Tribolium castaneum: one gene and its partner. The protein of the gene in region 1 binds, or shares a complex with, the protein of each later gene. Links are inferred from orthologs where the notes say so. Each region holds a gene or a part of one and is shown in the gene's direction. Other genes may lie near its edges. The genes, in order: Uba3 and UbcE2M.

The links.
Region 2: the proteins of Uba3 (region 1) and UbcE2M are in contact, whole or in part, in a crystal structure (PDB 2NVU), measured with the Homo sapiens proteins. The link is inferred for Tribolium castaneum from reciprocal best matches to the Homo sapiens genes UBA3 and UBE2M. Residues at the interface, in NP_003959.3 of Homo sapiens: His53, Pro54, Asp55, Glu61, Ser62, Phe65, Cys70, Gln149, Asn152, Asp153, Thr154, Arg157, Gln158, Phe159, His160, Ile170, Arg173, Trp174, Ser181, Leu182, Leu183, Asn184, Pro192, Ile195, Val196, Pro197, Leu214, Met217, Arg254, Met255; in NP_003960.1 of Homo sapiens: Lys3, Leu4, Phe5, Ser6, Leu7, Lys8, Gln9, Gln10, Lys11, Lys12, Glu15, Lys21, Gly22, Ser23, Ser24, Lys25, Lys26, Ala27, Gln31, Leu32, Gln35, Lys36, Ile38, Asn39, Glu40, Phe51, Ser52, Asp53, Pro54, Asp55.

What each region holds. Positions count from the first base shown.
Region 1 is NC_087400.1:1,388,908-1,393,491, forward strand, and holds Uba3 (nedd8-activating enzyme E1 catalytic subunit), read left to right. Parts: upstream 1-1,473; 5' UTR 1,474-1,592; coding exon 1,593-2,112; intron 2,113-3,159; coding exon 3,160-3,965; 3' UTR 3,966-4,003; downstream 4,004-4,584. Other genes in the region: coronin-2B, read right to left, coding at 1,145-1,252; proliferation-associated protein 2G4, read left to right, coding at 4,524-4,584. UniProt on the Homo sapiens protein: Catalytic subunit of the dimeric UBA3-NAE1 E1 enzyme. E1 activates NEDD8 by first adenylating its C-terminal glycine residue with ATP, thereafter linking this residue to the side chain of the catalytic cysteine, yielding a NEDD8-UBA3 thioester and free AMP.
Region 2 is NC_087394.1:37,270,652-37,273,906, reverse strand, and holds UbcE2M (NEDD8-conjugating enzyme Ubc12), read left to right. Parts: upstream 1-1,427; 5' UTR 1,428-1,599; coding exon 1,600-1,705; intron 1,706-1,751; coding exon 1,752-1,846; intron 1,847-1,897; coding exon 1,898-2,245; 3' UTR 2,246-2,525; downstream 2,526-3,255. Other genes in the region: msk (importin-7), read right to left, coding at 2,861-2,925, 2,979-3,122, 3,178-3,255.

The sequences.
Region 1 (4,584 bases):
TTTCAAGCAATTAGTGATTTATAGTTAACTTTAATTCATTTAATACAAGGTGAGGTCAAAATTTTTAGAACAAAAAATCGAGTTATTTTCCATTGTTTCGCCTCCTAGTATATAGTTCTCCATAGTCCAAAATAATTATTAAAAATTGTAAACAATGATAAAAAAGTGTGAAATCATCTAAAATACGAGCAAATAACTACATTAATAAAAAAAAACTTCATTCATTTCAAATCAGAAGTTGGGTAATTTTGAAGATAGAAATCTACTTTGAACGTGCTTTACCGTAACACCATTACTATCTACAAATTTATTGGTCTCGAGTCAGTTTTTTATACAAATCAATAAATTTAATAAAATAAAAAATATATTGACAATTTTTTTTTCAAAAATATATTTTTCGTTAAAATTTTAGTTCCATTATTAAAAACTTAATGCTTATTTTTCAAGCAATTAGTGATTTATAGTTAACTTTAATTCATTTAATACAACGTGAGGTCAAAATTTTTAGAACAAAAAATCGAGTTATTTTCCATTGTTTCGCCTCCTAGTATATAGTTCTCCATAGTCCAAAATAATTATTAAAAATTGTAAACAATGATAAAAAAGTGTGAAATCATCTAAAATACGAGCAAATAACTACATTAATTATAAAAAACATCATTCATGTCAAATTAGAGGTTGGGTAATTTTGAAGATAGAAATCTACTTTGAACGTGCTTTACCGTAACACCATTGCTATCTACAAATTTATTGGTCTCGAGTCAGTTTTTTATACAAATCGATAAATTTAATAAAATAAAAAATATATTGACAATTGAACAAAAAAAAATTTTCAAAAATTAAAAGAATAAAAAAAGAGTAAAAAGATTTTTTCAGAAAAAAACGTGGTTTAATTTAAAAACACCGTTTTCGACCAAAAGGTGGATATTTGAAACGTTGACATTGCAAACGTCAAACAAGCCAGTGTGACCACAGGCCTGCCAACTCAAACAGTGACTCTTGACCACTCTGTATAACATAACGACAGTTTTCCATTTGTGATTAAATATTTACATTAAATAATCAATTTAATTACCTACCACACATGTAACACCTGATAACGTCCCAAAACCGGGCTAATAGTAGTAATTAAAAAAAATCTTACCCTTTTTGAGGGTTTGCTGCAAGAGCGGTTATCCACAAAATTAATTATTTTATCTCCGGTTGCTGGCAACAGAGAATTCCCAACATTGCTTTCCGTTTCTCCAGTCATAATAAATGAATTACATAAAAAACCCAACAATTTTGTACTGATTTTAAATAAAAAATTCAATAAAACAATAAATCACAACGTAACTTTTTTGACATTTGTTTGACAGCGATCAACGCGTTGTTACGTCACGAAGTGGCTAACGCTACGATCTTTAACTTATTTCCGACTATTTTATGGCATTGAGGAGAATAATAATTATAATTAGCACCAATTGCAGTGCATAATTAGTACGTAATTAAAATTCCTGCCTTTGTGCCTGGCTTTTTGCGTGAAATAACTAAACGAGTTGGCGCGTTAGTCACTTCCTTTCTGACAGTTCCAATTTTAAAAACGGTTAAAAATGAGCGAAACGCAAGAACAGAAGCGCTGGGGGCACCTGCGCAAGGTGCTGGAGCGTCCGGGCCCCTTTTGCCACCCGGAGTTCGAGCCGTCACCCGAAATCATGGATTTTATCGTAACCTCCTGCAAGGTGCTTGTCGTGGGGGCCGGGGGCCTGGGCTGCGAACTGTTGAAGGACTTGGCTTTGATGGGGTTCAAGCAGATCCACGTCATCGACATGGACACGATCGACTTGTCGAATTTGAACCGCCAGTTTCTGTTCAGACAGAAGGACATTGGGCAGTCCAAGGCCAAAGTGGCGGCGGCTTTCATCAACAAGCGCGTGCCTGGGTGCCAGGTGACGCCCCATTTTTGCAAAATACAAGACTACGATGAGAGTTTTTATCGGAGTTTTCACATTATGGTGTGCGGGTTGGACTCGATCGTGGCCAGGAGGTGGATTAATGGCATGATTTTGTCGCTCTTGAGCTACGAGGATGGGGTGCTGGATAATTCGACCATTATTCCATTGGTGGATGGAGGTTTGTGCCGAAACGTGGGGGCTGAGACAAAAAACGCGCCTTTTTTCGCAGATGGCGCTGTTTCAAAATATCAGCGCCTTCTTGTTTCAGACGCTAAAGTTATTTCTCTCACAAAAAATTGTGTTATTTTAGTTTTTTTTCCATTTTGATATTTTTATTGACATTTATCTTTATCTAACAAACTATTCGGAAATAAAATTACCGTTGGGGGCGCCACTGAGCTAGGTCGAAAACAGTAACCATAAATGGCGGGAAAATGTTTATTCGGATATTTTGAGCGTTGTACGAATTTTGGGGCTTCACAATTATTCCATTGCCTATGCGGAATGATTATTGCATCTTTGATGCAAGAAACTTATGTTGACAAATGAGAGATGACGAGGAAAACACGAATAACGAATGACTGTTTGGTTCACTTTCTTTATTGGAAAATTATTACAAAGACATTGAAAAACCTACCTTTTGGCATAATTTACGTTTAAATGTATCAGCAGTTGTTAATCTTTATTGTAGTTTTGTACATTTACTGCAGCATTTCATGATTTTTTCAGTGGAAAATTCTAATCTAAAATTCATAACACTTCACTAATTTATTGGTTTCTTGAGCCAAACTTTGTGTTCGCTGTGATTTATTACTTATAATCTTTAATTAGACAACTGTTTGATAACACTTTGTAATCAAAATTTAAATATTTTTCACTTTTTATCCACTTTCAAGTTCCAACAATAAACACTTTATACCATGAAAAACTACAGAACCAAAGTCAACGCTAGTATTTACCACCACGTACTTTTAAAGTAATTCTTTCTATTGTAAGTAATTAACACTATACACGCAAAATTGTTGAACAATTCATTAAATGTCAGTTAAATGTGGCATTACGAAAATTTCTTTACTGTCTTCGACATAGTTCAAAAGTCATCACCAGAGGGCGTCTAGTTAATTTTATTTCCGAATAATTCTTCTTGTTTACAGCGCCATCTGAACTGTGCTGTGGCGCCAAAATTTAAAAAAATATATATAATTGAGTAATAATTTATTTCCAGGTACTGAGGGTTTTAAGGGCAACGCCCGCGTCATAGTCCCTGGCAACAACGCCTGTGTTGAGTGCACCCTTGACTTGTACCCCCCTCAGATCACCTACCCTTTGTGCACAATCGCCAACACACCCCGCCTGCCTGAACACTGCATTGAATACGTAAAGGTGGTTTTGTGGCCCAAGGAGAACCCCTTTAATGCGCCCCTGGACGGAGACGACTCCCAGCACATTGGCTGGGTTTACGAAAAGTCCCTGGAAAGGGCGTCCCAGTTCAATATCCCTGGAGTGACTTACCGCCTTGTTCAAGGCGTCGTAAAGCACATTATTCCAGCAGTGGCGTCAACTAACGCCGTTATTGCCGGAGTTTGCGCCACAGAAGTGTTTAAAATCGCAACGAGTTGTTGTCTACCGTTGAATAATTACATGGTTTTCAATGACGTGGACGGGATTTACACTTACACTTACGCAGCGGAACGGAGGGACAATTGTGTGGTTTGCTCCCAAGTGCCGCAAACTCTACCGATTGAGGATCCGAGTAAAGTCAAGCTGAAGGATTTGATTAAAATCCTGTGTGAGGATGAGATGTTTCAAATGAAAAATCCAGGTTTAACCACGGTTATTGATGGGAAAAATAAGACTTTGTACATTTCCACGATTAAGAGTATAGAGGAGAGGACCAGGGATAATTTAAATAAGACTTTAGTTGAGTTGGGGCTTAAGGATGGCATGGATATCATGGTCGCAGATGCTACGTCTCCCATGACGTTGGTTTTCACACTTAAGTTTGCAACGAGCGATGTTGAGATGAAGTAATTGTGTTATTTATTTTTAATAAAGAAAATTACAAACTGGGTTTTGTTTCATTTTAACGGTTATTTTGGCCCTTGAAATGTTTATTGTTTGATTTTTTTAAGTTCTAACCACTCTATCAATTTTGATATTGAAAAAAACACTTTATATCTTTATATCTTTTTTTTGGTATTATTGCTTAAAATTTGGTCGGAATTTTGACTTAGGCCTTATTATAGCTTCGCCGTAATCGGCCGTAGGGCGTTTTTCTCAGAAAATATGACTCGGCGAAGATAAAAACCATCAGAATGAATAAATAAATATTAAAATTTAGTTTTTGCCGGGAGTTTCTCCACACAAGTTGGCCACCCCAAAAAAAAATTCCCCTGATCGGTGGCCACTTTTATAATTTTCCGCGGTTTGGTCCAAAATCGTGCATCACACCGTAGTCATAAGTGATTCCCCGGTCATTTAACCCCCGTCAAAGTTACAATAAACGTTTTGTGGAAGTATAAATTCAAAACTGGCGCGTCAGGTGTGCAACCACATGACGTTTCCTCTCTAGTTCTCGTAGTGCGAGAAATGGCGGACGAGAAAAATGTGGAGAAAACAATTTCGGAAGACTTGGTCGTTACCAAGTATA
Region 2 (3,255 bases), on another chromosome or scaffold:
TATAAATATTTAAGTAATTCCTGGAGAAAAAAATGGTTAAATACAAAAATTTGAATGTGCTATAGGAGATGTAAGTGAGTAGTAAGTTTTTAATTTATTTGAAGGTTAAATAATCTAGGAAAAAAACTGTTATTCTTTTATGCAAACTCATCGTGATTTACATTTACAATATGCTCCCAAATATTTTTTTACACCTCATAACAGCATGGAGAAAAATATCTACTTTGACTAAGTCTCATTTAATTCGTAATAATTGTTGTGATGGATCATCAAAAATTAAATGTAATGACTGGTGCTTTTTAAAAGGAACTGATGTGATATAATATTATTTGCAGATAATATGCAAGAATAATTGCACAATAATTTTTATTTAACACAATTTTTTTCCTAAAATTAGATATAGGATCAAACAAACAATATTAATAAACGAAAAATACAAGCTTTTTAAATTAATGAATTATTGATTGATAACTAGAAAAGCCATTTCTCTGAAGTCGTCTGTAAAATGGTTACATTACAGACCATATTTATTTGGGTTCAAAATAGTCTCTAGAGTGTCGTACTTTTCAAAGCTCATAAAATGTGATAACTGATGACGTGATGAGTGATGAGACTTTGTGTGAAATGACTGCATTTCCAATTTTTTTTAAGAAACTTGGAAAATTATCAATTCAGAAAAGCACTAAATTTGTTTTTTACACTCAGATGAGTCAGATGGTTATCTCCTCTGCTATCTATCACTTTAGACAACAAACCCCATATTCATGAAAACTCAATTTTAATTTAAATATTACAATATTTTAGGCAAAATGCTAAAATATTTTTTAATTAATAATTTCGTAAAAAAATTAAAATTGCTCAAACCGTCGCGTCGTCTGCGTTGATAGTTGAATGACAATTAACGAAGACGACGCGACGGCTCAAACCCGTGGCCCAAACTTTGCAAAAGTTGCTCTGCGCGTCAAAATGTAGTACCGTATAAAATTTCAATAACGATGCTTTAAAATATTAGGGTTGGATTTATATTAACAAATAAATTAGAAATGTGTACACTTACCTTTGAGTAACTGCAAACATTCGTTTCAATGTTCATCTGTGGTCTGGTGGTCAACAAACTAATACACAAACTAAAAACACAATAACGAACAGTTCTAAAACGCTCCTAAACCGAAATAATTCGTTTCACAGAATAATTTTACGAATTTCAACAACTCAAGACGCGAAAAATCCGCAGAGGATGACAAACGCACCAGTAGTACCAATGTAATAACAACGGCACGAAATAAATTAATTTAAATAGCTTTGAACATAGTCTTCTGATGGTCTGCTTTATTGATTTGGATCTTTTGATTAAGTGCTTTGCAGAAAAATTCTTAGCATTAGCAATAAATGAATTTTTTAAATTTTTTCATTAAGAATTCGTTCCGATGGTAAAGTAAATTCCTGCATGTCCCATTGACAGTTTTGACATTGACAGATGTGTGAAAAATTCTCTTGCAAAAAGCAATCGAATAAACTCGACTTTCCCATGTTTTTGTAAAGTGTGCTCGCAGTAAATTACATTGCTCTGACCCCTCACCACCCCTGCGCCAGCCAAATATGATAAAACTATTCTCGCTGAAGCAACAGAAAAAAGATGGAGAAGCCTCACCGCGACCAGGAAATCAAAAGAAAGCCTCTGCAGCCCAGTTGAGGATTACGAAAGGTTGGTTGTGAGTCATTGCGCCCCCATTTTGACCCTCCCTTTGCAGATATCAACGAGCTGAACCTGCCCAAGACCTGCACGACGGAGTTTCCCGATCCGGACGACTTGCTGTCTTTCAAACTGGTGATTTGTCCGGATGAGGTTAGTTGTGGATTAGTGTGTGGGGTTGTGGTTAATTGGGGGGACGTTTAGGGTTTCTACAAGACAGGGAGGTTCGTATTCAGTTTCAAAGTGGGCCCCAATTACCCGCATGAGCCCCCCAAAGTCAAATGCGAGACACAGGTCTACCACCCCAACATCGACCAACAGGGCAACGTGTGCTTGAACATTTTAAGGGAGGATTGGAAGCCCGTACTGACTATCAACAGTATCGTCTATGGACTGCAGTATTTGTTCCTTGAACCCAATCCAGAGGATCCTTTGAACAAGGAAGCGGCTGAAGTGCTCACGACCAACAGGCGGCTGTTTGAGCAGAACGTCCAGAAGGCGATGCGTGGAGGGTATGTTGGCAGTACTTATTTCGACCGCTGTCTCAAGTGATTCTTATGTGTAAAGAACTTATTTATAAGTTTACTGTTTTATGCTCGTTGACGAGGACACTCGAGTGATTCTTGCATACCTAATTACTAATTTCGTTTATTAAAGCTACCACTATGTTGTTTTATTTGGCTTTTTCATCTCAATCGTTCTATTGTGATCATCATATCTCACTCCAGCGTAAAGCACCACAAAGCGGTGTGTTGTAATTTCTCCTCAGTGAAATGTAACTGATTTAATTAAGAAAATAGATAATTTTTCATAATAAAAATCTACAAAAATTCGAAGCAATTCTTTATTAAAATGCAATAACTTAACACCTTTCAGTATATTATAGAAATAATGTAATTTACTACATTGTCTTTCCCTAAAGAAGAAAACAAATGAGACAAAAGAGACACAGTCGAAAAATAATTACAATTACACGGAAAATAAACTTCCATTTAAATCTATATTAGGTAAATTTAAATCGTTTACATCCGTTTTTTTTTTGTTTAATAAAAAGGCACTTAATAAAAATTAAAAAAGATTAAATTACCAACTGTACATCATTTCACTGGTCTTAACAGTCAATTTTACATTCAGTCACAAAAATTTTACACACCACGTCACATATATTCATGACGGTTTTGGAGCGCCAAACTTAAAAGTTGTGGGTACTTCATGTTGTGTAAACATAAAACCTGGACAAACAAAATTAATTTGTTATTCCCCCAACACTATCATATAATTTTACCTCCCGATTGTTCAATTCTTTTACTTTCTTTGGCTGCTTTCCTCTGATCCGCTAACACACAAATATCTACCAAATTCTTCTTTTGTTGTTCGGTTAAATTGGCCGTGAGGGCATTATACCATTCAGGCTGACAACGTTCCAATCCTTGAAATTTTATTTTATAAATCTAAAAAATTGAACAATTAAACACGTTACTTACTAGTCATGACTTCTTTGAAAACATCGTATTCATCTACAGGACAATTTTCTTCATCTAATGGTGTTGTATAGGCTTCCA